Linked DNA regions of Tamandua tetradactyla. The protein of the gene in region 4 purifies or fractionates together with the protein of the main gene of each other region. This does not show direct contact. Links are inferred from orthologs where the notes say so. Each region holds a gene or a part of one and is shown on either strand. Other genes may lie near its edges.

Region 1 (7,952 bases), on a different chromosome or scaffold from region 4:
AGCGAGAAATGAACTTTTGTTGTAAGCCACTGAGATATGGGGTCACTTTGCTATGGCAGTACAACTTAACCATAACTTATGCTATCATTACTTCAGGATTTTGTTACAGGTAGTGTATTAGTTAGGGTTCTCTAGAGAAACAGAATCAACAGGGAACACTTGCAAATATAAAATTTATAAAAGCGTCTCACGTGACCGCAGGAACACAGAGTTCAAAATCCACAGGGCAGGCTGTGAAGCCAACAACTCCGATGGGTGGTCTGGATGAACTCCACAGGAGAGGCTCACCAGCAGGAGCATGAATGGAACCTGTGTCCTCTGAATCCTCCTTAAAAGACTTCCCGTGATAAGCTTTAGCATCACTAATTGTAGAAGACACTCCCCTTTGGCTGATTACAAATGGAATCAGCTGTGGATGCAGCTGACGTGATCCTATGAAATGTCCTCATTGCAACAGACAGGCCAGCACTTGCCCACTCAGATAAGCAGGTACCACAACTTGGCCAAGTTGACACATGTCCCTAACCACGACAGGTAGTCAGATAAAATTTCTAACCAACAGCACCCCTGCCCTCCACCCCTCATTACTAGAGATGACTGTCACTTGTTCCTGAAAGGGCCTAAAGCAGAGCTAATGCACATCTCCTTTGGCTGCCAGGCAGCCTCTCAGGTTATTTTCTGGCAGTCACTCCCCCCAATCTGTTTCACCCTGTTTCCTATCCATGCTCTCTCCTGAATCTCCTTTGGGAAACTAACTGCCCCTCACCCAACTCATAGCTGAGTAGCTGCTGTGAGATTGACCCAGGTGGATACTGACATGGAAATGGGGTTAGCTTGTGTGAGGAAAAACCTGGTGCCAGTATGGCTATAGAAGGGGACTGTATGGAGAACGGGCTGGAGGATAGGATGGGAGGAAGGTGAGGCTACAGAGGGTATCAGGACCCAGAGCATGAAGGGCTTTGTGGTTAAAGATCAAGAGCCTGATGGGTCCCTGGACCAGATAAGTCCTGAAACCTAGAGGGGCCAGCCTCTCCAGAATATCAACTAGTCCCATCTCCCTACTCCATATTACTGACAGCTCCTTCCAATATGAAAAATTAGAATGGCCATAGCCCAAATAGCCCTAAAGAGTGGGTTAGAAATATCAAAGGTGATGGTGGAGTTATACAGAGAAGGTAGGGTTTAACAAATGAGTATGATTGCTGAATACTGGTATTTCTTTGAGTCTCCAGTATCTTAGAGCAGCTAGAAGTAAAAACCTAAAATTGCAGCATTGTAACCCACACCAAACTCTGAAATCTGTTCTACAACTAATTGTTGTGCTGTGCTTTGAAATTATTGCTTTTCTGTATATACATCATTTTTCACGAAAAAGAAAAAAAAGGCGATTGTGATGATAAAATATTTATTCCTTCTAGCCTCCATTGTTCTGGAGCAGCTAGAAGGAAAAATCTGAGGTCGTGGTATCATATCCCATGACAAACTCTGGGATCTGTCCTGTAACTACTTGTTGAAGAGTGCTTTGAAAACTATTGTTTTTTTCTTTCTTTGCTTTGTATATATGTTAAATTACACAATAAAAAAAAAGTAAAAAAAAAAAAAAAAGATCAAGAGCCTAGATTTCATTCTACAATCACTGGGAAGCCACTGATGAGATTTAAGCAGTAACGATATGAACTGACTTAGGTATTATAAAGTCATCTGGCAGCTGTGTTTAGTGGTTATCAGTCTACTTATTATTATATATAAAGTACTCAGAACAGTGCCTGGCATGTAGTAAGTCCTTTCAACGTAAGTTGTGATTGTTGCCCTTGTGGAGGAGGTAGGAGCGACAGTAGGAGACGTGAGGAGCTATCAAGTGTCTTGATAAGATATGATGGTAGCCTGGGCTAAAGCAGTACAATGGATAGGATGAGAAGTGATCAGATTGGGAATGTAGTTTTCCTATTATTATAATTCTCTAATCATGTAGTAAGGATTTTCCATTTGCATATGTAAACCAAGGTGGGTTGTGGTTGTTGCAGGACAGAGATGTGTTCTGTGAGTGGGATCAAAGGATGGGTTAATGGGCTAGATTGGGGGCTGTGGGACTAAAGAAAAGAAAGGATCACAGATGACTCCCAGCTTGTATATTCAGTTCTGCAATGTCTGACCCCTCACCTGTCCAGGAGCTCTGTCGGAAGGTGAACTAGATTTGTCAGGGTTCTCTCTGCCCAGTAGGGGTTTACTTACTCCAGGAGACACTCAAAGAGCTGTCAAATGAATGAATGGTGCCAGAGTGAAATATTTTAAAAAGCAAGCTTAAAGCCTCCCCTGTACCTTTCTTGCCCTGCATCAGGGTTCCCCAAGGACAGCTAAGACACGGACTGCTAGGTTTCCTGGGGAGCCCTTCTGAAATGTGTTCCTCCAACGAATGTTTACTGAGCACCCACTATGTGTCAGGCACTGTTTTTAGGCACTGGGGTCACAATAGGGAACAAGACAGAAAAAAAAAGCCTCTGCCTTCATGGAACTGACATTCTAGTGAGGGAGTTCATGTATGAATGCATCAAATATGTGATATAGTGATAAGTGTTAAAGGGAAAAATGAAGCTGGAGGAGGCTTGGGAGAATATGGGTATGTCTGGGGAAGGTTTAGATCTTATATAGGGTGGTGGTCATAGAAAGCCTCACTGAGGTGATGACACAAAGGGAAGAACTTTCCAGGCAGAGGAAACAACGCAGGCAAAGGCCCTGGGGTAGAAATGTGCATGGTATGCCACAGGGATATCAAGCCGGCCAGTGTGTTGGGAGCAGTGAGCGAAGGAAGGAGATGAGATTATACAATTATGCCCTGCTCTTGTAAGGCACTGTAGGCTGCTTTCTGCCCGCTCCAGCCCTGTCTTCTTGTCTTTTATGGAGCGAGGGGAAGCCAGGGGAGAGAACTGAGATGAAGAAAAATTGAATTTGACTTAGGAGTTAACAGGCGCCCTCTGGCTGCATGCAGGGAACAGACATGTCAGGAAAAGTGTGAAGAAAGGGAGACTGTGAGGAGGCTACTAAAATAGTCCATCCAGAAGGTGATAATGGCCAGGACCAAAATGGGGGCAGGACTGGGGGTTATATGCTGTCAAATTCCGGACAGATTTTAAAGGGTGAGCCAACAGGACAGCCATTTGCTGATGAACTGATTGAGTAATGTGTCCTCATCCAATCAGCCTAAGTTCACCAGGGACAAACCTGATCCACAAAGTTAGGTTTATTTATCATGGCAATGAGAAAGAATGCACACCAGAGGTTCTGTGGGGAGTCTCACCAAACCAGAGTTATTATTGGATTTGGGAGAAGGATGAAATTCAGGTGAAATGTAAATGAGAAGTGTTTGAATAGCTGGAAGCAAAGCAGAACTATTAACATCGGGTCTACATTTATTGTTTTCAGGTCTCCTTGAAAGCAATAAAGTTAAGATAGATGTGGAATATTGTGACCAAAGCTCCTAATCTGACACTCTGAACCTGGATTGTAAATCGAGGTTGCTTCTCTGTGTCAAAGTGATTTAGATTCTTCTGGAAAAAGTGATGTTTCATTCTTATTGCTACAACTGCAAACAGCAAGGTCTGTGATAGTTTGAGAGCAAAGTTTCCCAGTAAGAAAGCAGCAGTCACTCAAAGGGGAGTTGTGTCACTTTATGGCTGGAGCAGCATGTCCCTGGGAGAAATGTATTTTTTCCTATTAACTTTGCAGCTGGCATTTCCCACGTCTGTTATTCCAGCCAAATAAATCGGAGGGCAGTTTTTTTTGTTTTGTTATTTTTTTACAGCACAAACTAATTTTTACTTTCCCAGGGGTGAGTAAAAAGAGGTAAGGATGATTCTAAGGTTTCTAGCCTGAGCAACTGAAGGATGGGGTAAGCTATTGAACAGGTGCACCTAAAAGCCTGGACCAACCTCACTTTTCCCTACAGAGCCGCCCTACCCCCACCCCTCCGCTTTCAGCAGTCTCCTTGTAGTACCTTTAGTTTATCGCCTACCCCCTGCTGTTTCACGCATCTGTACATTTGCAAGTTCGATGTTTACTTGCAGCCCGCAATACGGACTCTTCACCTTGCTAACTCCTACTTGTGACCCGCCTCAAGCTGGACCAGGTGCTCCGCCCCTCCCAGGGCCCCGCTTCCTATCAAGCCCCGCCCCACTCCTGCAGTCACTTGCGAAGCTCACTGGGCGGTTGCTGGAGCAGTTCGGAGCCCGGCAAGACCTGGGCAAGGCGGTCCAAGCCCTACTGAGTTTAGCCAGGTTAGCGGTCGCACTTTGCTCCTCGCGGGGGCCGCCGAACCCGGCCCGGCTCGCTCCCTCTCCGCCTGTCTCACGTGACGGCCGCTGGTCCCTCCTCACGTGTTGCAGCCGGAAGATGCCGCCTAAGACGCGCCATGCTGCCTTACCCGAGCTCCGCCTTCATCAAGTGGTGAATGGGGAAAGTACAAACATGCAAAGCCCGCCATTTGCTGCCCAGCTCTTTATTGCAGTGGCATCACAGCATTTCTGAGCCTGCGCCAACCAATTCGACTGGCTCGTCACTCTCTTTCGGCTCCACCCTGCGATTACACATCCGGGTGACAGTCACGGTGTGGGTAGTCGCCGTGGGTAGGCAGGCAGCAAAAAGCGAGGTGAGGCGGTTATGGCCTTACCCTTGCAAAAATTAAATCCTGTTTATTTCAGTGAATGATAAAAAGGCAGAATGGTCCAAAACCACCAATACGCTAAATCCGAGCATTAAGTAAACCCGAACCAAGGCCCCTTCCTTCCGAAGGCGGTGGCAGTAGCAATAGCCCCACCCTGTCCGAGGCTACGCTACTCCTTTAAGCCCTTATTGGTCGAAAGGGCCGCCCGGCAGCCCCGAGATTGGCTAAACCCGCGGCACGCCGTGTCCAATGGGCGCCGGCTCCGGCTTTCCCGCGGCGGTTCGCTATTCAAGTGAGTCGTGGCTGCGGCGGTTGGGCGTGTAACGGTCGCCCGGCCCCGGCGTGACGATGGCGGCCTTGGGACTCGCAGGCTACGCGCGGAACGACACGGGAGAGAAGCTGCCATCCGTCATGGTGGGGGTTCCGGCGCGGAGGAACCAGTCCTCCCCGCCCCCGGCTGCCCCGCTCTGCCTCCGGCGGCGGACTCGACTCACAGCGGCGCCCGACGATACGGTGCAGAACCGGGTGAGGATCTATCTGCCTTTCCCACCCCACTCCCAGCTCCCTGGGCCCCCGGGTCCAATGTTCAGCTCTTTGGCCACACCTATCAGCCTCCGACGGGTCCCCTCAGGTTTCTCCCAGCCCCGCCTCATCTACTAAGACCCGCCCCTTCAGAAAGGCTACTCCCATTTTTCGGTATCTTTTTCTCACGGGCGCTGCCCATCATTCCTGGCCTCGCTTCTCAACCCTTGGCCCCACCCACAAGCCTCTGGGTTGTTCCCGGCGTTCCTTTCCAGTCCCATCTCTCCGAACACCTTGTCTCTGCAAGTCACCTTCTCATCACGCTTTATGGGATTGAGCTCCAGTTGAACTTTAAACTCTCTCCCGAACTCCACCACTTTGTTGACCCCGCCGCGCCAGGTCTTTAGGGGTTTCGGCCCAGAGTCCTACCCGTCTCAGTCTCAGGTCTCCCCAGCCGTCCGTCAACCCCTGCCTTCTTCCTTTTCCCTTACCAAGATGGAATTCCATATGGCCACTCAAAACTATAGAGAGGATGCTAGTAATATTCTAAAAATCTCATCAGTGCCAGCTGCTGGGGATGGGGGTGGGGAGGGGGGAGTACAGAATACTTTCCTAAATCTTGAGTACAGAAAAAAAGAGGCGATTTTAGAATAGGTTGAATTTCCCCCAGCAAAGCAACATGTGTAATCTGTTTTCATAAACAATAACCTGACCATTATGTTTTAGGGAGATATGAAGAAATTGTGAATGTGACCTGCTGGGCATAGTGCATGGCATCAGATAAAGGGTGGATAAATGGTAACTGTTGGTGGACCTTGTTCCTGCTCAGTAGCTCCCTGCTATATTCCAAACATGTTGCCCATTCCTGCTTGCAAGCCCCTATGCAAGTGGGCCCCTGCCCACCTCTCTGGCTGTAGCTCCCCTGGCATCCCTCTTACCAAGGTTCAGTCACACTGACTTGTTCTCTGTTTCCTTGAGGCTCTCAGCTCTCTCCTGCCTTCCAGCCCTTGTGTTTGGGCCTTTTTGCTGCGGTCCAAAGCTAGCTCCTTATCTTTCAGGTCTCAGCCTGAATATTCTTACCTCCAAGAGGCCTTCTTGAATCCCAATCTAAAGCAGATACCCACCTTAGTCTCTCACCCAGCGCCCTGTTCTTCATGGCCCTTTCCTTGTATGTTCCTGAAAGTGCCTTGTGAGCTCTTAAACTATGTATAAATGTAGAGGAATAACAATAGCACTTTCAGAGTGGCCATATAGCAAAGTGGCAAAGAACACAGGTTCTGGACCTAGACTGTCTGGGCTTATGCTTTAATTCTATTCTTCCTAGCAAGTTAGGAACTTTTCTGTGCCTCTGTTTCCTCATCTGTAATGAAGATAAAAGTATTAATATGCCTTGTAGGGCATTTGTGAGGATTAAATGAGCTAACATACCTGAAGCACTTAGAACAACTCCAGGCACGTTGCAAGTACTCTGTTAGTACAGTTAGCGACTACTGTTATTGTTATTGTGTATTTTGGGCAGCACATCATTTATTTTTCTTTTGGCAGCACAGTGTAGATAAGCAAAAGATTGTCTAAAAATGATCAATTATACTACTGCCCAATAATGCTTAATGGTAAGTGAAATGACATGAGTGACAGTGCTGGACTGCCTGGTTAGAATCTTGGTTCTGCTCTTTCTTGAATGGGTAACCTGGGGCTAAAGTTACTTACCACTTCCGAGTATCCCTCTCCTTATCTGTAAGATGAGGATGGTGGTGACAATGGTAACTATGTTACAGACTTATTTAAACGTTGGATAAATTAATAGAGTTACAGGTATTTGAATAGTGTCTGACTTCTGATAAATGCTCAGTATTAACATTACTTGTTACCTTATGGTAACTTTTTAGTTCTGATACCATGGACTTGCCTAAGAGTGTTTTACTCTGTATAATTAGGAACTGATCTAAATATGAAAGTAGCACAATTCCAGTTAATCCCTACGCTGTAGGGATTGTAGTTAAATAGGGACTTGCCCGTTTCACCTACTTGCTTAGAGGGTTTTTAAATTTGAAATTCTAGACTGTGAGTTTGATGAGAAAATGGACAGGGTCCACTTTTGCTCAATGTTGTATCTCCATTACTAGGCCCAAAGTGCTGTCTTTGGAGCCAACCTACTTGGGTTTATATCCCAACCTTGCCGTTCCCCAGGTGTAGGACCTTGGGCCTCTAGTGTCCTTATCTGTAAAATTGTGGTGACAATAGTGCCTTCTTCCTTAGATTGTTATGAGCATTCAGGTCTTTAATCTATATAAAAGTATTTAGAAGTTTATTCCAGGGTCACCTTCTCAGTGAGGCTGTTTCCCCTTTCCCCTGTACTCTCAATCCCAATCCCTGCTTTATTTTCTCTATATTTGTTTTGTTCGTTTTCTTTGTTTTCCCTCCCCACCATCACCAGAATGTGAGCTCCAGGAAAGCAGGGCTTTTGTCTGTCTTCTTCACCACCTTGTACCCTTCATCTAGCAGTGTATTTCTCAAAGTAATGTTGAGAACAAACATTAGCTGCTGATAGCTTGACTGCAGAAGCTCAGTGAGTGTGTGTCAAATGCAGCAGAGACTGAACGGGACTGAGGCAGCTGTGATACTGCTGGGGCAGGTGCTTCTGACTTGGACCTTTTTCTCTGCAGGTATCACTGGAGAAAGTGCTTGGCATCACGGCCCAGAGCAGCAGTGGCCTAACCTGTGACCCCAGCACAGGCCATGTGGCCTACCTGGCAGGGTGAGCAAGCAAGTG
Region 2 (7,953 bases), on a different chromosome or scaffold from region 4:
TCTTTATAAAAAGGTTATACTTTGTCCACTCATTTTTACATATTTCATTCTTATTCCTTCAAAGAAAGTAGATTCAATCCAGTAACTAGTGATCTGATCACTTTCAATTTAAACAGAGATCTGGGCCACAGTGGCTCAGCAGGCAGAGTTCTCGCCTGCCATACTGGAGACAGGGGTTCGATTTCTGGTACTCGCCCATGCAAAAAAAAAAAACCAAATACTCAAATACAGAGACCTCCTGATTAGATCCAAAACATCTTATGCATTTACTATCTGATCTAGTACCTCCAACGTCTAGTCAATTTAAGATTAACATGGGTATAGACTGCATGTGTGTGAAGATTTCTCAATAAAAATACTTTTTAAAAAACAAAAACTAACATGGGTAACTTCCTGTTACCTTCTTTTCTACCAAAACAACTTTCTTCCACTATGGTCATTAGGTGGCCCCAATGGTCTCTTTTCTTCCTCTGAAATAACCTTTTATTTGGGCTTTAAAACCTCTGAAAAGGTGCCACTGCAATACTTTCCTGGCCTACTTTATTTTAGTTTGCACTTCATGCCAAGGAACAGAAACAAAATTAAATTTCTTTAAACACACCAGAGATGAGCAGCACAAGTAACCTCATAAAAACAGTTTTAAGACATAGAAGGAAAGCTCTAATTAAACAGAAAAATAACTTTTTTCTCAGTAGTTTTCCAGATCAAGAAGTTTATTAAGAAACAGATAAAAACCACAGTTCAGCTGTATTTTAAGCAGAAACGAAATGACTTAATAACTATATTTCCTTAAAATGGAAAGGGAATCTAATGTTTATCCATCTAAGAGGCCTGAAGAAACTTCAACTGATTATTTTTCAAATCATTTCAGTACTCAGTTTCAACTCAATATCAAGACACCTTTTCATAAGAACAAGCGACATTTTATTATTCATAAAATAAAACTCAAAACAACTTCACAGAGCACACAAGCAGGTTCGGAGGTCTCCAGCCATGTGGGAGACCTGGGTTTGATTCTTGGTCCATGTCCATGTGTATACACGTGCACAAACACAAACGCACACCAGGGGGAAAAAAACAGCTTCTCATATGATAGATAAAAAGAAAACAAAATATCATCTCAATTCATTGATATGCAATTATCAACTTCACCTATGGGATTAACAACTGTACCAAACAGGTCTGGTAAATTTCCATGAATTGGGTCCCAATGTTGGTTGTGTTCTTGTCTCATGAAAAAGTACATAGCAGAAAGAAGCCACACAAAAAATAAAATTAAATAAATAAATAAAATCACATGGCTAATATATTAAAAAAAGAAATCAAACCACAAAACTAATATCTGAAGGATTCTAAGAGCACGAAAGCTACATTACTACTACTATTTCTCTGTCCTCATTTAAATTAATTTATTCTATTAAAAAGGGGAAATGCACAAGAGAGATTTTTCTATCATACAACACATATAATCAACATGTAACCATTCAGTTACATTCACAACAGCACAAGTGACCTTAACCATTTGGAATACTTCTTGACTAAGGCAGGTTAAGTATCAACTTCCTGGACAAGACAGGAAAACAAAAAAGCAAGTATCTCCTCCTTAAGAGAAAATATTCACAGAACAAAGTAAATTACCTTAAACTCAGATTAAACACTAAGCGGAACTGTCAACAGTTTACCCACTCACCACATAATATAAAAGTTTACTGAAGTAAAACAGGCACTTGCCCTACACGGTAAACACTTGCAGACATCTAAGCATTGCTTTTAGCAAGCACACAGAAACACTTCTTTAAAAAGCTGTATACCGGGCGAGCCACAGTGGCTCAATGGCAGAATTCTCGCCTGCCATGCAGGAGACCCGGGTTCGAGTCTCGACGCCTGCCCACGCAAGGAAGAAAAAAAAAAGCTGTACACCAATTCATGCAAACATTTCTGTTAATAGGGCTTGCAGCAACAAGGAAAAACACACCACCTCTAAAAACCAAGAAAGTGGAAACTTGAGGTAAGAAGGGAGGAACGACTTAAAGAGTAGAGAAATATGTGTACTTATTGAGGGCCTACTACTTTATCGACTTAAATTTAACTCAACATATAACCCAGAAAGGGGATTCACATCCGAATTAAAACAACCAAACCAACATTACAAACCCGCAATTCGGGAGGATGGTGAGGAGAGAGGGATGACCTGATGTTCTCCCATATCACTACCAAACCGTTTGGGCCATCGTCTTCCGATGCTTCAGAAACCTAAACACACCAGGGCCGCGTTCTGGGACGCAGGCGGCATCTCCTGTCAGACGCCGGCCACCCGGAGCTCCAATCTATTCTGTTCGAGACGACCCCCTCCCAAGAACACTAGGCCTGGGGCTTGGTTTGGATTATGGGAGACCCGGAAGTAGGAGGAGGAGAGGGGTCTTATAACTAGCGCAGTCAGGGCTCGGAGTCCGATAGCCAGGAGGGGCAACTCTGGGGCAGAGGCCGCGACATCCCTGCGGATCCCCACTGAAGAAAACTGAACAGCATTCCTGAGACGCAGGCTCGCTCGGCTCCCCGCGTAACACCAGGTCGAACCTGCTCACTCTGCGCCCTGCTGGACCCTCCACAGCAAGGGTCCCGCCGAGGGAGGAAAGGAGGACCGGAGGGCCCACTACTGCCGGACGAGGCGAGTCCAGCAAGCAGGACGCCCGCTTCAACGAGCTCACCTTTAGGTCGTTCTCTGGCAGGTACTTGCATAGCCGCGCTATTTCCACATACTTGTCCAAGTCTAGTGGCGCCATTTTAGAAGTACAAACCGCAGCGGCGGCGGCGGCGGCTGTAGATGTTGTAGCGGCGGCAGCGGCGGATGCCGAAGCCGGAACTCTTCCTACGTCACGTCCGGCCCATGAGAGGCGTCTGCGCAGCAAAGTTAAAGCTTGACTCGATTCTCTTGGCTCCCTCCGTGCGCCTTACGCCCTCTTTGGCTGAACCCGGGCTGCAGGCCCTTCGGGGCCGCGGCGGGTAGGGGGAGGGAGGAGGGCCTCCGGTCGGCGAACGATACCTGCTGGGACCCATAGTTGTCGTCGCGGGACTTGCTGGGACTTGTAGTGTGCTTTCGCGGCCAGCTACTCTTTTTTTTTTTCCTTTCCTTCCCTTCCCTCCTTCGGGATTTTCACTTCGAGGAACCCAACGAGGTTTTTCGGATGCAAAACGCAGTTTCCGACCCTTTTCACCACTCTCTGTTTCACCTTGAAGTCACTTTAAAATTGGGGCCCCCAGACTATGATAACCTGCTTACACTTTTCAAAGGCCTTGTGAAAACTTTGCCTACATCTTAGATTGTATATATTATTGAATAAAAATTTTAGAAATCCATGGATCTGCACAACAAAAACAACCACCACCAAATCTGTGGCAGAGATGTCAGGCTTCCAATCTTTCTGCCCGGAAGGAAGGGGGAAAATATCCAGACATTTCTTATGCAAAATGCTTTATAAATGCTGTTAAATCAATTCTCATCACATTTAATTCATAGGAAACCGAGAGCTTAAAGTAACTTGTCCAAAATTGCTCAGGGAATAAGCGGTGGGGCCAAAATGGAAAAATAAGTCTGGCTGGTTTAAGCATACTTAAATGTGAGTCCCACGGGGCATAGATTTTCTCGTTGTATCCCTTGCGCCAAGAACAGTACTTGGCATATTGCATGCCTTTAATATTCATTCATTTAACAACTGTTTATTGCACATCAGCTGTGTTTCAAGTATGATCGTAAGGGTTTAGGGTAGTTAGCAAATAAAATAGCAAAACTCCCTACCCTCAAAATGGATTTACGGTCTAGCAGAGGAAGACAACATAAACATTAAACATAATAAATAACCATATAGAATGTGCACGGATGGTTCAGTGGTAGAATGCTCGCCTTTCATGCGGGAGATCAGGGTTTGATTCCCGGACCATGCGCCCAAAAAATAACAAAAATAACCATATTATTAGAAAGTGATTTTTATTAAAAAAAAAAAAAAAAGGATTAAGGAGATAGGGTAATGTATTAAAAAAAAAAAAAAAAAGCTGGGGAATTAACCGCACAGATACCTGAGGGAATTGATCAGCAAGAGCAGATGTGGAGTCCTCAATAGGAAGTGCTAAGACAGGAGCGCTTCCAGAGTCTTTAGAAAATACAAGACTGGAGAGCTATTATAGAATTTTGAGTGGAGTTGAAATATGTTCTAAATTGTTCTAAAAGAATCACTCTGGTTCTGTATGGGGTAAGGCAGAGGAAATGGTTGCAGCTGAGAGACCTGTTGGGATATTGTTAGAAAATCCAATAATAGCTGACACTCTCCTCTTGCTCTAACATGTATTTGGGGGACAATTGGCAAAACTTTAATGAGGTCTCTGGGGGACGTGCTTTGTTCTATTCTTGTAATTGTTCTGTAAATTTGAAATTGTATCAAAATAAAATTAATTTAAAAAATAAGTTTGTTGCAGAGTTAATGCCTCCCACAAGCATTCATTTCTTCATTATTCAACAAAGAGGTATATAGTACCTATGATGTGAATAAGACAGATGTAAGACAACTAGGGAGCTTACAGTCTGATGGGGAAACAAAAAAAATGTAAATTAGCAAATATTTAATTGCAAAATGTGATTGGTACTGACTTCAGGGAAAATGGCCAAATAGACTAGCTCGAGCTTAGCCCTGATCCATGGAAAAGTTAGAGAAGGGACAGGAGGGCAACCAAGGTGGCGATTCGAAAGTGTTCCTGACTTGGGAGAGCCTTCTGCACTACATGCAGCAGCCCTGGTTGCAGAGGCCGAGGAACTGAGAGGCAGAAAGCTGGAGCGTGGCTTGGATGCGCAGAGCCACTGAGTCCATGGGTGTGCATGGACAGGAGCCTGGGACTAGGAAGTAAGCCAGGCCGCATTCCTTGGGTGCGCTACCCTCACTGGCGCAGCCCTGTGAACGGCAACTCATCCCACACTCCATGCACCCGAACCCCGTCACCCACTCCCATTCCCCACACTCCAAGCACCCCCACCCCACCAGCTCCCAGTGCACATACATGCCCCACACCCCCAGCCCAAGTGCAGCCCAACCCACCTCTCTTGCACACCTTCCAAGCACTGCCTCCCCCTCACTGTTCCCTGCAGGCTATTGCCAGTGCATAAAGGCTGCAGGCACTAACCTCCACACCTAGGCTACCCCGACCCCCCCACCCATAGTGTTGCACAGCCTCACTCCACCCTGCCTAAGCTCTGTGCATCTATTTATGGCACTCGCAGACCCACGCATGCGCACGAACCCCCAATCATGTCATTCGGCTCTGGGAACCGCACTTTACAGCAGCCCTAGAACTCCCTATGCGCATGGCCCTCAGCCACATTTCCCAGGTCTGAGAAAATGCTGACCTGAGCAGCCAGGTCATATCAGCCCCCAATCCATGAAGGCATAACGCCAACCACTGCCACAGCTCTACACATGTGTACAAAGGGCCCCGTGCCTTCTTCCAGCACACACCAGGGTTACGCCTCCTGCCCCCCCAGACTGGTGCATCCTCACAGCTATATCCTCCTCAGCTGCTGGGCACCCACGTTCACAAGCATCAGCATAACATCCCCAGCCTGTGCCTATACCTTCCCTGAAACAAATCACCACACAGAGTGCCCACTCCATGCTCTGCTCCCTGCTGTACAACAATCCCATAAACACAAGGCATTAGACTACTGAAGGAAATCAACACCCAAAGTAAATCAATCAAGATATTTACATGCAATGAAGACAGCAGAAGATCATAAAACATATCACAATGCAGATAGATATAGCCCTACCTAATGACCAAATTAAAACACCAGAGGAGACAAAGACACTGGAAAAACTAATCAAAGATGTTCATACAACTCTACTTAATAAAATAAGTGGAATAGCAAATGACATAAAGGAGATCAAGAAGACAGTAGAAGTAGAAGTAGAAAAAGACAGAGCATAAAGAGGAATTTGAAAGAATAAATAGAAAAATAGTGGATGTCACAGAGATTAAGGACTCTGAACAAATGCAAAACATACTAGAGGCACACAACACCAGATCTGAAGAGACAGAAGAAAGAATAGTAGATATAAAGGACAGGATAATTGACTTCAAAGACTCAAAACAGCAAAAGGCAAAAAAGATGGAAATAATTGAATGGGAACTCAGAGAAGCGATAGACAAAACAAGCACACAAATATAAGAATCACTGGTGTCCCAGAAGGAGAAGAGAGGAGTAAAGGGCTAGGAAGGGTGGTTGAGGATATAATGGGGGAAAACTTTCCAACCCTCATAAAGGACACAAATATACAAGTCAAAGAATCCCAAAGAACTCCAAACAGAATAAATCTAATTTTAGGCCTCCCCAAGGCACATACTAATCAGTCAGTCAAATGTTGAAGAGAAGCAGAAAATCTTGAATACAGCAATGGTAAAACAATCTACTGCATACAAGGGAAATCAAATAAGACTGACTTCAGACTATTCAACTAGCACCCTGGAGGTGAGAAGGCAGTGGTATGATATATTCAAAATCCTGAAAAAGAAAGACTTCCAGCCAAGAATTCTATACCCAGCCAAATTGTCCTTCAATTGAGGGAGAGATTAATGTTTTCACAGTCAAAGAAACTGAAAGAATTTGTCAACAAGAGACTGGCCCTACAAGAAATACTAAAAGAAGTTCAGCCGGTTGAAAGAAAAAAAAAACAGGAGAGGGAGGTCTGGAGAAGGGCACAGAATTGAAGAGTACCACTAAGAGTAATTTTTTAAATACAAAGAGAAAGAAGGAAAATAATATATAGATCTGACAAATAAAATAAAAAAGATAGGTGGTGGAATAAAGAAGCACATTTTCAGTAGTAACTTTGAACGTGAAAGAACTACACTTACCAATTAAAAGATACAGATTGAAAGAATAGATTAAGAAACATAATCCAGCTGTATTATGCTTACAAGAGACTCATTTTAGACACAAGGATAAAAAACAGTTTGAGAGGGAAAGAATGGAAAAATATTTTTCATGCAAGTTGTAACCAAAAGAAAGCAGGAGTAGTTGTACTAATACCACACAAAATGGACTTTAAATGTGAAGACACCATAAGAGACAAAAAAGAACACTACATACTAATTAAAGGGCCAATTCACCAAGAAGATATAACAATCATAAATGTTCATGCTCCCAATCAAGGAGATCCAAAGTACATGAGACAGACATTGACAAAACTGAAGGGAGTGATAGAGGTTTCAACAATAATATAGGAGACTTCAATACACCACTCTGCTCTATAGATAGAACAACAAGACAAAAGATCAACAAGGAAATAGAGAAGTTAAATAATTTGATAAATGAATTATAACTAACAGACATATATAGGTCATTGCACCCCAAAGCACAAGGTTATACGTTCTTCTCTAGTGCTCAATGAACATTCTCTAGGATAGATCATATGCTGGGGCACAAAACAGGTCTCTATAAATTTAAAATATTGAAATTATTCAAAGCACTTTCTCTGATCACAATGGGATGACGCTGGATCTCAATAACCACCAAAGAACGAGAAAATTCACAAATATATGGAGATTAAATAACACACTCTTAAACAACCAATGGGTCAAAGAAGAAATTGCTAGAGAAATCAGCAACTATCTGGAGATGAATGAGAATGAGAATATAACTTGTCAGAACTTATGGGATATGGTAAAGGCTATGCTGAAAGGGAAATTTATTGCCCTAAATGCCTATATTAAAAAGCACGAAAGAGCAAAAAATGAGGACTTAACAGCACAGCTGGAAGAACTTGAAAAAGAACAGTAAACTAACCCCAAAGCAAATAGGGAAAGAGAAATAACAAAGATTAAAGCAGAAATAAATAAATGGGAGAACAAAAGAACAATCAAAAGAATCGATAAAACCCAAAAGTTGGTTCTTTGAGAAATTCAATAAAA
Region 3 (6,975 bases), on a different chromosome or scaffold from region 4:
AAGTGAACACCCTAAGTACATGGAACCTTGAGTAGGACATGAGATTTTGTGGGTTTATCCAGAGTGATGCCCCAATAAATCCTAGCGTGATTTGAACAGTGAATTAAAAAGTATTTGCAACGTCCCTTTTGGGGAATGGTGAGAATGGGGGAAAATTCAACTTCCCCAAGTTGAATTCTTGATATTCTCAAAGCAGTGTGGACAACCAAAGCTATAGGCCAAGCCCCCAGTCTTGGGGTTTGTTCATATGAAACTTAACCCCACAAAGGATAGGTCAAGTCTACTTAAAATTAGGCCTAAGAGTCACCCCCAAGAGAACCTCTTTTGTTGCTCAGATGTGGCCTCTCTCTCCAGCCAACACAACAAGCAAACTCACCACCCTCCCACTGTCTACGTGGGACATGACTCCCGGGGGTGTGGACCTTCCTGGCAATGTGGGACAGAAATTCTGTAATGAGCTGAGACTCAGCATGGAGGGATTGAGAAATCCTTCTTGACCAAAAGGAGGAAGAGCGAAATGAGACAAAGTGTCAATGGCTGAGAGATTCCAAATAGAGTTGAAAGGTTATTCTTATGCATTAAGTAGATATCACCTTGTTATTCAAGATGTAATGGAGAGGCTGGAGAGATCTGCCTGAAAATGTAGAGCTGTACCTCAGTAGCCATGTTTCTTGAAGATATAATGATAAAGCTTTCACAATGTGACTCTCTGATTGTGAAAACCTTGTGTCTGATGGTCCTTTTATCTACCTTGTCAATAGACGAGTAGAAGATATGGAATAAAAATAAATAATAGGAGGAACAAATGTTAAAATAAATTTAGTTTGAAATGCTAGTGACCAATGAAATGGAGGGGTAAGTGGTATGTATGTATACATTTTTTTTCTGTTTTCCTTTTATTTCTTTTTCTGAATAGATGCAAATGTTCCAAGAAATGAACATGATGAAAAAAACAAACAAACAAAAATAAATAAATAAAGCATATATCTAACCATCCAAAAATAAAAGAGTAAAATGTTACCCACACACTGAAAGAACAAAAAACCAATAGCAATTGACTGTAAGTGGGCTAAGATGTTAGAATTAGCAAAGATTTCAGTGAAGCTATTATAAATACATTCAAACAATTGTAGAAACATGTTCAGGGTCACGGTGGCTCAGCAGGCAACAATGCTCGACTGCCATGCCAGAGGACCCGGGTTCGATTCCCGGTGCCTGCCCATGCAAAAAAAAAAAAGAGAGAGAGAAAACATGTTCAGAGACTAAAGGGAAATATGATGACAATGAGTAAACAAATATAGACCCTCAACAGAGGAATATAAACTATAAAATAAAACAAAATAGAAATTCTGTAGTTGAAAAGTACAATAACGAAAATTTTAAAATTACAAGATAGACTCAACAGCAGACTTGATATGATAGAATAATTAATCTGTGTACTCAAAGATACAGCAATAACAATTACCCAGACTGAAAAACAGTTAAAAAAAAGAAAAAGAAGAAGAAAAACTTTAAGAGCCTCAGGGATCTGTGGGACAACATCAGCTATACCAACAGACATGTAATGAGGGTACTAGAAGAAAAGGGAAAGAAGACAAAGGGGCACAAAAAAAATTGTGAAGAAATGACCAAAAATTTCCCAAATGTGAAGAAAAACATGAATCTACAGAACCAAGAAGCTCCATAAGCCTGTGGTAGGGCAAACGGGAAGAGCCATGCCTGTGACATCGCAATCAAGCTGCTCTTGCCAAAGAGAGGAAGTCATAAGAGCAGCCAGAGAAAGATGACTTTCACATAGAAAGAACAATGACACATTAACAGCTGACCCAGGGGAGAAAGTGACACATTCAAAGTGCTGAAAATATATGTCAAAGAGAAAATTCTACATCCAGCAAAACTATGCTTCAAAAATCAAGGTGAAAAAAAAATAGAGATCTCAATGGAGAAAGAGAAAGTAGGGGGAAAAAAATCCCAAATAAACATTTGGAGTTGAAAAGAACAATAATTGAAAAGAAAATCTCATTAAAGGGGCTCAAAAACAGATCTGAAAGGCAGAAGAAAGAATCAGCAAACCAAAGATGAGTGAGTTTAGAATGTTTTGAAACATTCCTTTTTACTGCTGTTTATTGTTCCATTTTGTGAATCTACCACAGTTAGTTTATTCTGTGGCTGGGCTCTTTCCAGTTTGGAGTTACGATAAAACTACTATGAAGATCTCAGAAAAAGTGTTTTTGTGCAGATCCATTTCCATTTCTCCCGGCTAAATATTAGGAATTCAATTGCTAAGTCATGGGCAAGTATACGTTTAGCTTTTTAAAGACTTTTTTTCCCCAAAATCGTTGGGAAAATGCTTCTATCCCCAATGACAATGTATGAGAGTTCTATTTGCTCCATATCCTCGCCCATGGTGGGTACAGACACACCTTTTTTTCTTTCGGCAGGCTAGAATTCTGGTACTGAGCCACCATTGCACCACCTGAACACACTTTTAAGTTAGTCTGGGGATGGATAGTGGTATCTTGTTATGGTTTTAATTTGCATTTCTCTAATAATGAATGGCATTGAACACTTTCTTGTGTGCTTATAACCTGATTTCAGATGTTAAATTGTGAAAAAAAAATGTGCATCTTACAGTTCATGTAATAGAGTAACCTATATGTTATCTATAAACCCCAAATTATTTTTCATGTTTTCGCTTTTGCCAGCCTTACTGTGGCATGATTCACATCTGTTACAATATGCATATTGCAAATTTAACAACTCACCTAGATTACCAAGTGGCGTTGCTGGAAGGGTCCTTGCAAGAGGGAGGCAGAGGTGGAGCAGAAAAGACAGTGAGACGACAGGAGAGCCAGCCTGAAGTCTAGCTGTCTTTGAAGGATGAGGGAAAGGGCGACAAGCCTAGAAGGACAGGCCAGGAGCTAGGAAAGGCAAGGAACCTGCGGGAGGAACCAGCCCCGCCCACACCCCATTTCAGGGTTAGAGCCTCCAGAGCTGTGAAATAAGATACCGCATTATTTTAAGCCACTAGTTTGAGGCAATCTGTTACGTCGGCAATAGGGAACGCCTCCTCTACCCTTTCCCCCTCCTTCTCCCCCTCTCTTCCTCCTCCCCTTCCCCTCCCCCTTCTTTCCCTCCCCCCCTCCTCCATCCCCTTCTCTTCGTACTCCCTCCTCCTCCCACTCTACCTCCACCTCCATCCTCTTCTTCCCCTACCTCCTCCTCCTCCCCCCCACTCCGCCCTCCCCTCCCCGTCCGCTACCCTTATCCCGCGTAGCCTTTCTCCTCCACCCTTAGCCAAAGACTCGTCCACTCCAAGTCTAGCTCCACAGAACGGTGCTGGAGGGACGCCGGTGTGGTGGAAGGTGGAGTAAATGTCACTCTCACCATCCCGCTCCTACGGAAAGAAGCCTGCAGTGTCACGCGGAAAGAAAGGAGACAATTCAAAAGACGCGCGGGGAGAGTGCGGGAGGGCCGTGTCCTGCCCGCCCGCCCCGGGGCGCCATGGCTACGGCCTTTGCTGTAGCGCTAACCGCGGAAGAGTGGCATAGTCGTGCGGGTACCCCGCTGCCCCCCGAGGCTGCCGGTCCCTGCTAGTCCAGTGGCTCCCTCAGTGGGAAAGGTGGGCGCAAGGTGGAGGAAACAGGGGAGCCCAGGGCTTAGGCCCGTGCGGCAGAGGCTAGTCTCCCCAGCCTTGCTGAGCACCACCCTCCTCCCGCGGCTGCGTGGCCGCGCACCGCCCAGAGTACCCGGCAGGAGCCCGCAAGCGGTTCAGTTCTCCGCTCGCCCTGGCAGGTGGGCAGTGCAGGTGCGGCCCGGCGGGAGCAGGCGAGCTCTCCCCACGCAGCAGCGTCCCCAACCCTAGCCCCCCTGTAGCGGCCCGACCACCTGAGACCACGCACAGCCTGGTGCTCCTGGGAGTCCCGGCGGCGCCTTCTCAGTGCGGGTTTGGACCCCTCCGCCACTCCCGTCCCCGCCCTCCCCTGCGGCGTGACCCGGCCCGCTGCACAGTCGCGCGTCAAGGCGCCCCGGGCAACGCACCGGTCAGATGTCCAGGGCGCAGGTCATAGTTGTAGACCCAGCGGCAGGACCTACGGCTGGGGGCGGCCCATTGTTGCACCTGCCCCCAGCGTCAGGCTTGGCAGCTGTCCCTACCCCTCTCTTCTCAGAGACCGAGCCCGGGGAGCAGCGCACGCGGGCAGGTTCCCCCCCCCCGCCCCCCGCAGCCCTGCCCGTGGTCCCCACGACCCGGTCCTGCTGTGTAGGGACCCAGCAGTCAGCGATGCCAGGTTTTCAATGGTTTATAAATGTTCTGCTTCTGCACACTTTATCATCTACTCGTGATTTTCGTCATTAAATGCTTTCATGCCCTCCTTGGTTACAGCTGCTAAGGCTGAGATCACTGTTTAGTTTTGTAAACTTCTCTCTGTTCTGTTTTTGTTGTTTGGGTTTTGGTTTTGTTTTGTTTTATTTGTTTTTTGCTCGTGTAAATTGTTTTCTGTTTGTCATTGAAATGTAAGAGTGAAATATGAATACATTTCAATTTATTTCTTAATGTCAGGAATTTTGGGGAAAAAAAAACTGTAAAAGGTGGACTGGAGTTTTTTCGCTATAACTAGACATGGATGCCACAGTGAAAGCTGTAGCTTTACTTGCTGTTGCTTTGTACCTTTTCTCCCTTAAAGAACGTGGACCCTGCTTGGGTTTGAATAGAATCCTTTATTCCAGCTAAGATGCTTTCTTCTGTGTTTACCACTCTATTTTTTGATAAGCCTTTATCCTATTTTCCCTGGAATGCTGTCTTTGCTTGCAAGTGGCCTAGGCTATAGCTAGCTGACTGTGTACTTGGTTGGCTCTGGTAAAACTCAGGCACCAAAGACTTGGATTAATCTTTTCTGGGACTTGGCTGTTTAGGCACGCACTGGGGAGCAGAACACCTGTCCAGCTAGTATCCAAGTTGCTGGAAACTGCATGTCCCTTTGTCCAAGTTTGCAAATTGTAAATTAAAAACTTCAAGGACAACAACAAAAAACAATTGGCCATAATGTGAGGGTTTTGTCTGAACTTTGTATTCTATTCTATTGGTCCGTGTGCCTATTCTTATGCCAATTGTACGCTATATTGTTTCCTCTAGCTTTAAGGAAATTTTAAAAATAAGGTAGCCTAAGCCCTCCAGCTTTGTTCTTTTTTCAAATTGTTTTGGCTATCCTGGTCTTTGGAATTTCCATATAGTTTTTATTATAATCTTGTCAATTTCTACCAAAAACAAAAACAACCTCTGCTGAGATTTTGCTAAGGATTGCATTGAATCTATAGTTCAGTTCTTGGAGTATTACCATCTTAACAATATTGAGTTTCTCATCATAATCATGGTATATCTTTACATTTATTTAAGTCTTTTTGAATCAACTTAGCAATATTTTGTACTATTTATTGTATAGTACAATACAATAGGAATTTCACTTTGTGTGGGGGGTCCCTGTTTCAGTCTGCTAAAGTTGCTGGAATGCAATGGATTGGCTTTTACAAGGGGATTTATTAAGGTACAAGTTACAAGTCTAAGGCCATGGAAATGTCCAAATTAGGACATCAAGAGGATGCCTTCAATCAAGAAAGACCAGTTGTGTTCAGGTTCCTGTGCTGCAGGGGAAGGCACATGGCGACGTCTGCTGGCCCTTCTTCTTGAGTTAGTTTCAAAAATGGCTCACTCTGAATGAAAGCGAGGGGTAAGGGCTATGGTATGTATAATCTTTTTTTTTCTGTTTTTGTTTTTTTTTTTCTGAATTGATGCAAATGTTCTAAGAAATGATGAATATGCAACTATGCGATGATATTGAGAATTACTGATTATATATGTAGAATGGAATGGTCATGTTAATGTTTTTGTTTGTTGTTAATTTTTTAATTAATAAATAAATAAATTTAAAACAATACGTTTTATTTTTTAAAAAATGGCTTACTCTGCTCCTGTGGGTTCTTCTGGCTTCTGCTGGGAGTTTTCTTTCTTCAAGTATCTGTGTTTTTCTCCAACATGTCTCCCTCTTAAAGGACTCCAGGAAACAGATTAAGACTCACCTTGAATGGGCAGGGTCACATCTACATGGAAACAACTCAATCAAAAAGACCCACCCAAAATAGGTCTGCCCCACAAGATTGGGTTAAAGAACATGACTTTTCTGGGGTACCTAACAGTTTCCAACCAGCACAGTCCCCAAGACCACCCCCAGGTTCTATGATCCTCTAGGACTCACAGGATTTTGCTTATAGTTGGACTCATGGCCATGATTTATTACAGCAAAAGGACACAGAGCAAAATCAATAAAGGAAAAGGCACATGGGGTGATGTCTGGGGAACTCAAGTGCCAGCTTTCAGGGTCATCTCTGAGACTCCTCTCTGAAGGAGTCCCAAGAATGTGCTTCATTTCCCCAGCAAAGAGTTATGACAGCACATATGAAGTGCACCAACCAGGGGAGTTTATTGGAGTGGCCCAGCAGCTTTTCTTTCTATTGTGGTAAATATATGTGGTGCAAAAGTTATCATCATAACCTTTTATTTTTTGCATGGGCAGGCACCAGGAATTGAAATTGTAACCATTTTAAAGTGAACAATTCTGTGCATTTAGCATGTTCACGTGTTGTGCGTCCTTCACCACTGTCTAGATATAGAACTTTTTCATCACCCCAAATGGAAACCTCACACCCAGACATCCTCAGGCCCCCTTTCCTTGGCCCCTGGCTACCACTAACCTACTTCCTGCCTCAGAGTATTTGCCTATTCTGGGCATTTCATATAAATGGAGTCATATTACTGCCCTTTTGAGACTGGTTTCTATCACTTGGCCTAATGTTTTCAAGATCCATCTATGCTGTCACACATGTCAGTGCTGCATTCTTTTTTTGCTTGTCCATTCATCTGTTGATGGACATTTGGGTTGTTTCTAACTTTGGGCTACTATAAATAGAGCTGCTATGAAT
Region 4 (7,012 bases):
ACAGTCAATTCTCCACCCTCATTTTATGTTGCGTTCTAGGCAGCATTTGATAAGGTTGATCATTTCTTCCTGAACATCTTTCTTCACTTACCTTCCAGATTTGTCTCCTACCTCACTAGCTGTCCACTCTCACCCTCTTTTCCACTCTGAAAATGCCTGAGATAATATAGGAATGAGTCTTTGGATCCCCACCCCCACTTCTCCATCTACAACCATTTCCTAGGGACCCTCACCCAATGCCATTGCTCTGAACATCTTTATCAGGATACCTCGAATTAACCTCTTCTGGCCTAATCTCTCCTCTGACCACCAGACTCAAAAGATCCAACCACCTGCTCTGGACCCCACAGAAAGGTATGAAAGGCATCAAAATCTTAATACATCAAAAATGGAACCTCTTCTCTCCTCCAAACTTCTTTATCCACTCTCTACTCATGGGAGTGTGCTGGTCTCTTTCCCAAACCATTTCTCTTTTCCTATACTCACTCTCCAGGAGAGCTCATCTGGTCTATTGGCTGTGCATAATATCCATAGGTGGAAAATTCCCAAATTTCCATCTCCAGTCCAGATATAAATATCCTACCACTTTCGCATCTCCATCTGATTATCTAAGGGGTCGATGTTAACATGTCCCAAGGTGAACTCACGATCCTTCCCATCTCCACCTCCCCATTCTTGTTCTCAGATATCCCCTCAGAATATGACCTCTACCACCACCACCTGGTAAGACCACAGTCCTCCCTCCCTGGACTATTTGCAACTGGCTCCCAATGATTTTCCTCCTCTCATTCTGCCCCACTATTACCCATTCTCAACACTGCAGCCAGTGATCCTGTTAAGTCAGATGTCAATCCTTCATTCACAAAACTTTCATGGCTTCCCAACTCAATGAAATACAGGTTCCAACTGGTAAGGACAGACCAATGAAGTCCCACAAAATGTGAACCTTGACCATCTCTCTGACCTAGTCTCACACTCCTCCTTCCTGTCCACTGCACACCAGACACACAGTATATCTTTTCTCAAAAAGGTCCCCTGCCACAGGGCCTTTGTACTTGCTCTTTCCTCCATCAGGATCTTACCCCAAATGCATCACTTGCGCCTTCATTTCATGCTATTCTCTGTTCAAATGTCCCCTTCCAGAACCATCTCTATCTTATTTTTCTTCATAGCCCTTAGCATCATACACAAAGTATATGCATATTTATATACTGTCTGTGTCCCTCACTAGAAAGTAAATTCCACAAGAGCGAGGGCTTGCTTAGTCACATTTTACTCACCACTGTGCCCAAGAAACCTAGAACAGCACATAGTGTAGGCAATGAATGTTCTGGGAATAAATTAAAGCAAATCAATAATAAAAATAGTTTATTAAAACACTTTGTAAGCCCATACTATGAGTCAGGCACCACACTATCAAGTAGGTAAAACAAACACCAAGACAGCAGAAATCTACCAGTATTCTTCTTACCCAGGTGCTCTGTGACTACTAAAATCTAATCAGAAAGGATTTCCCCACCCTCAATGCTTCTACATCCATTTCAAAAATAAGCAAATAACTCCATAAGACAGAGCCAGGACTAAAGAACCTAGAGTCCTTAGTTGGTTGATAAAAATAAACTAAAAACAGAAGAGGAAATACATGCCTACTTTATGCACCATTATTTTCTAAACTTGCTCTATTACTTTCACTTTCCCAACAATTCCTAGTAGCAGAATACTGTGAGAGCACATAAGCCTCATAATATTTATTCAACAGTCTTCTGACCAAAGCTATCAATGTTTATCCCAATTTTTTCTTTTCATATTGAATTTATTTATAGTTTCTGTCTCAGGAAGATGAACAATAAACAGAATGGAATAAGATTTTGATTCGGAAAATCCAGGGAGGGTCCCCAGGAAAAAGCCCCTGAGGCGATTCTGATCTACAGCGATTTGGAAACTGCATAACTAAATGGCCTTTTCAAAATCCATTAAACAGAGATCCTGCAATTCTAAACAGAAAAACTGTTAGATTTAATAGCCCTGTGAGTTTAGGATAAAAAAGTTGTCCCTCCTCCCCCCACCACAGGAAACCTGCAAATATCTGCCAAGAGGCTGAGTGGAGAGGAACTGAGTGTCTTCTGAAAACATTTAGTTCAAGGAACAAGGAACCCTGAGGAGGAGACATGATTAAAAGTCAAGACTGAACGTTTGTTAGAAATTGAGGATCTCAGGTTCAACGCAGACCTAACAAACTCTGCATTTAGCAACATCCCCAGATGGCTGGTAGGTGTTGGAAGTAAATATCAGAACCACTTGGAGACCTTGTTAAACGTAGACACCTGGGTTTTATCGCCAAAATAGTCTGATTCATTCCACCTGCCGTGGGTCTGTGTTTTTAACAAGGACCCCCAAGTAATCCTGATATGGGTGAGTCCAAGGGCCAGGATTTGATAAGCACGGGCTCCGGAAGGCCTCTGCGTAGAGGTTATCATTCATTCATCCATTCATTCATTCATTCATTCATTCATCCATCCATTCATTTATCCAGCCAGGAAAGCGCCTTCCCGGACTATTCTATCTAACGTAGCCCCCTTTAAACCATACTACTGTTTTACATCCTGCATAATACTCGTCACAATTGGAAATCATGTTTAGTTTGCTGTCTCTCTCCCCGTTCCTCCAAAGTAAACTCCTAGACAGCGGAAGTTTCTCTGAGGTTTCCTTACCTAGGTGCCCACTGAATATGAGAATCCATGCAGAAAGCCTTCCCCAATGCCACCCAACAACCCCATCTGCCTCTAGCGTTAACCATAAGCAACCTTCACAGAGCCCCTCGGAACCCACGAGTAGATGGAGCACAGATGAGGCCGCAGAGGCACGTAGTCGGCAGGGAGGGAGGACCTCTCGCGCTGATTCTTTCTCTCCCGCCCCGCAGCCCCATCGCCCGCTCGGCTCTGCTCCAGCCAGATCCCACTACCCGCTCGTAGGCCGCCCGGATCAGCCGCCCCTCACCCAGGCCTCACACCCGCCACATAAACCTGACCCCACTGGTCCACGCACACGTCGGACACCGTCTCGAACCCACGGAGCCGAGTCCTACAGAGAGCTCAGCCGTTAAGAGTCAAAGGTTCTTCTTTTTAAATGCAAGTTAAACCCTCTACTCCGGACGCTGATTGGCCTAGGCTAGAAGGAAGGCTGCCTTTTGATTGGTCAACAACGAACTCGCTGTCTTGAGTCATAGGAGAAGGTAGAGACGAAGCGCAGGCGCACTTGCCTCGAAGGGCCCCGGAAGAGGGGGCCCCAACGACCCACCAAACCCGTGAACGTTCTATCGCCAGTGGTGCTCTCCGGATCGGAAATTTGCCCGTAAGAGAGCAGCCTCTAGCATCGGGGCTGTCGTACAGGAGATAAAGTCGGAGCAGGTAACCGAACCTCTTGAACGTGCCAGTAAGTCAGATGGCGAGGAGGGCCGGAGAGGGGGTGGGAGCGATGGATAGCGCGGTACTCGGCTTTATGCCCTTTGCGCGTGCGCAGTGAACTTGCGCTTCGAGCGATCGATCGGGCAAGATTCGCGCCTCCATTTTTCTGGGAGAGAGCGGGAGACCGCGAGAGCCGGATCAGCGGGTAAGGGAGCCCGGGATGCGCCGGCAGGAGCGGGTTCTGTCCGCTGGGGTCTGCAGAGGCCCACGGGAAGGACTGGGTCGAGGTGGGAATGGTCGAGAGTGAGCGGGGAGGCGTGCGCCCTGAGTCAGTGCTCCTGGGCTGCCGGGCTGGGCCTGCGCACCCCTTTGGAGGGCCTACCTCCCAGCCCCACGCCACCCCATCCTTATAAACTTCTGCGTTGGGATGGTTGCGCCGTGTGCAGAAGGGGCGTCCTGATCTCCCTTTCCTGTGTAACCGGTCCTGAGTAGGGTTATTCCTGTCCTCGGGCCTCAGTGTTCTCCCCTGCAAATTAGGGGTGGTGATTAAGAGGCTCCTACAGCCTGGCGAGTGAACATTCTAAAGGAGTTGAGAAGCGGAGTCTCGCCCTCTCTTTTACTTTCTCATTGTCCCTGTACATCTCACGATGCCCCAGACAGAAGTGAAGAGACAGGTTGGAGTGGTGGTTAAGTTCTGGACTTTGGAGTGGACCGTCCTGACGACCACGTAACCTCAGATGAGTTACCCAGGCACACTTTACCTTGAGTAGGTTTCCTAATTTCTCTGAGCCCGTTTCATCATCTCTATTGTGTCCCACTGTTCTCGGCAGATAGACTTAAGAGCATTTGCTCCTACATGCGTAGATTTGCATGCATTTATTGATTCCGTCCAATGAGCTTCACTGTAAAGTGCTTAGCACAGTGTCTGGCACGTAGGAAGTGCTCCATAAATGTTACATAAACACTCGTCAGTGTAATATGGTGCGTAAGAACTCAGGCTCAGGGACCACATTGCCTGGGTTGGAATCTAGTCTCTGACATTCACAGCTATTTAATCCTGAGTGAATTAATTAACCACTCTGGGCCTCAGTTTGCTTATTTCTAAAATAATACTGGATGAGGTGTGAATGAGTTAATGCACATAAGTTGCTTCCACAGTGTGTTTTATATACTGTGTTAAATGTCTAGTGACTATTAGCCTTTATTATTAAGTTTTTAGGGCACACTACAACCTAGTAGTTAGAAGCAACACAGACTCTAGAGTCAAACCACCTACATCCTAGTCCTGGTTCCTCCAGACACTATTAGTGAGATCTTTGGCAAAATTATATTCCCCCTTCATCTGTAAACAAGATTACAGGACCTCCATTATAGGATGGTTTGAGGATTAAATAAAGTAAAACTTGAAAAACATGGTAAAGATGTTGTAAATGCTGGCTGTTACTAGGATCAGTAATTTCAGTGGTTCTCCAGAGGGGACTATGTAGTTAGAAAACGTGCTTGATACCCCTACCTTCTCCCTTCTCCCCAGTCACTCCTGTTAATGTACAGGAATACCAGTAGGTACCACTGTTAACTCTATTGTTTGTTTTTCTTTTTAGCTTGAAGGAGAACTTAGACACTTGTGAATCAATCAGGGTGTGCAGTCCTTCCAGATTTTTACAATTTTTCCATTTTTTAGTTGTTTTGTCTGTATCTTATATGCCAATAGTATATTAAGCAGTTCACTTGAGTCATTTCAAAGCATTCAGTTTGCTTTCATTTTCATGGAAATAATAGCTTTTTGCCCTGATACTCTGGTTTAAATTATATAATTGCAATAAGCCCAGTTGTCATGAAACAGATTTTAGGAATGAATTTAAGCATGTGGCTAAGCTGGTAGAAATAGTAGTTCCTAGATATTTCAAGGGAATAGCAGCTGTCTTACCTGTTGACAACAACAGTCAGTGTTTTTATTAACAGAAGAAATAAAAGATTCTGGGATAGCCATAAAGAATAAATTTTTAGGTGGGTAACTTTGGCCGAAAAGAAAAGGGGAAGAATAAGTTGATGAAGAGAGAGTCTGCTGTAAATTTCAGCTAACATGACTTGAATACCTTCTGTGTACCAGGTACTGTGTGCAATGTTCTCTGTGTACCTTCTCGTTTAACCTTCAGTAACTTATTTAATAGCTGAAGTTTGGAGAAATGAGGACACTAACCAAAGGTAATGCAGATAGTAGAGCTAGGATTTTAGCTCCACAAGTCTGATTTACTGTGTCTGTGATTTACTAGTGCCTCTCCCCTTCACCATCTACCTCTTATCTCTTCTTGCAGCTGACAGGAAGAATTATCTTCCTCTTCTCCAAGATGTATAGAACCAAGGTGGGCCTGAAGGACCGCCAGCAACTCTACAAGCTGATCATTAGCCAGCTGCTCTATGACGGCTACATCAGCATTGCTAATGGCCTCATCAATGAAATCAAGCCTCAGTCTGTGTGCGCGCCCTCCGAGCAACTCCTGCATCTCATCAAACTAGGTACCATGTGAATATAAATGTATAGCTCTGGTGGTACAGATTTAAACTTTTCCAAGCATCACAGTTTTTCAGAATTAGTTTAGTTTAGTGCCAAGTACAATGCTGGATACTAAAGTTGGAAACAAAGTGCACATTATGAGCACTTGAAGCTGGTTCCAGCCTCAGCTTATACACATTGTCATTATCTGGAGCACTTTGTCTTTTATTATTGACTTCTTTCAAGTCTCAACTCATATGTCATCTCTGAGTACCCAACACTCCTAAAGTAATCTCTTTCTCTTCCCCATACCTCCCCAGTTTCTCTACCATAAACATCACGTCTATTTTCTTCAAAACAGAATTTTTGTTTGTTTGTTTGTTTGCATTGTTTTCCATGCAATCCCTGTTCCTCCCTGCTAGCTTACCCCATTCCCCACAGGTGAGCAGCAGTCCCTTCTTGAAGGGAAATAAGGATGGCATGTCTCCATGTTTACCAACCTTGGGACATGTAAGTCCAGGAGTGATATATTTGCAGTCACTGTGCAGAACTGTGGATAACTGCAGAGGAGTATCCATGGTATGAACTATCAGTGTTTTAAACCCTACAGAACTATGTCTTTGTATGAGAATATGATTATGACAAAAAGGAGCTTTTATTTTTTGAGGATATTTTCGGTTTATATTAAAAAGTATTTGGGGTCTGATTTGGAGGATGAGCTGTGAACGTCTGAACATGGAGGTTGGGAGATCAGTTAGATTTATGCTATAGCATTGTCAAGAAATTAAGAAATTGTGTTGTTGTTGGGTTTTTTTGTTTTGCTTTTTTGCTTTTAAAAAAGGAAACTTAATAAGTTGGTAGTTTACAGTTCTAAGACCAAGGAAATGTCCCAATTAAAGCAAGTCTATAAAAATGTCCAAACTAAGGCACCAATAAGAGGTTACCTTCACTCAAGAAAGACCAATGAAGTTCAGGGTTTCTCTCTTAGCAGAAAGGTGAAGTCTCTCAGCTTTCTCTCCTGGTTTGTTTCATGGAGCTCCCCCTGGGCATTTTCCTTCTTCATCTCCAAATGTCTCTTGCAGCATGGACTCTCAGCCTCGTGGCTCTGCTTGGC

The links.
Region 1: the proteins of AURKA (region 4) and WDR62 purify together in Homo sapiens (affinity purification with mass spectrometry; 3 studies listed by BioGRID and IntAct, counting the BioPlex papers as one, with this or other methods). This does not show direct contact. The link is inferred for Tamandua tetradactyla from reciprocal best matches to the Homo sapiens genes AURKA and WDR62.
Region 2: the proteins of AURKA (region 4) and PPP6C purify together in Homo sapiens (affinity purification with mass spectrometry; 4 studies listed by BioGRID and IntAct, with this or other methods). This does not show direct contact. The link is inferred for Tamandua tetradactyla from reciprocal best matches to the Homo sapiens genes AURKA and PPP6C.
Region 3: the proteins of AURKA (region 4) and PPP6R2 purify together in Homo sapiens (affinity purification with mass spectrometry; 4 studies listed by BioGRID and IntAct, counting the BioPlex papers as one, with this or other methods). This does not show direct contact. The link is inferred for Tamandua tetradactyla from reciprocal best matches to the Homo sapiens genes AURKA and PPP6R2.

The regions. Positions count from the first base shown.
Region 1 is NC_135342.1:29,895,056-29,903,007, reverse strand, and holds the start of WDR62 (WD repeat-containing protein 62), read left to right. Parts: upstream 1-4,934; 5' UTR 4,935-5,005; coding exon 5,006-5,182; intron 5,183-7,845; coding exon 7,846-7,937; intron 7,938-7,952. UniProt on the Homo sapiens protein: Required for cerebral cortical development. Plays a role in neuronal proliferation and migration.
Region 2 is NC_135328.1:47,350,896-47,358,848, forward strand, and holds the start of PPP6C (serine/threonine-protein phosphatase 6 catalytic subunit), read right to left. Parts: upstream 3,015-7,953; 5' UTR 2,784-3,014; coding exon 2,709-2,783; intron 1-2,708.
Region 3 is NC_135333.1:45,678,168-45,685,142, reverse strand, and holds the start of PPP6R2 (serine/threonine-protein phosphatase 6 regulatory subunit 2), read right to left. Parts: upstream 3,021-6,975; 5' UTR 2,766-3,020; intron 1-2,765. UniProt on the Homo sapiens protein: Regulatory subunit of protein phosphatase 6 (PP6). May function as a scaffolding PP6 subunit. Involved in the PP6-mediated dephosphorylation of NFKBIE opposing its degradation in response to TNF-alpha.
Region 4 is NC_135327.1:28,992,225-28,999,236, reverse strand, and holds the start of AURKA (aurora kinase A), read right to left. Parts: upstream 3,018-7,012; 5' UTR 2,927-3,017; coding exon 2,830-2,926; intron 2,824-2,829; exon of another isoform or gene 2,712-2,823; intron 1-2,711. Other genes in the region: CSTF1 (cleavage stimulation factor subunit 1), read left to right, coding at 5,753-5,921. UniProt on the Homo sapiens protein: Mitotic serine/threonine kinase that contributes to the regulation of cell cycle progression.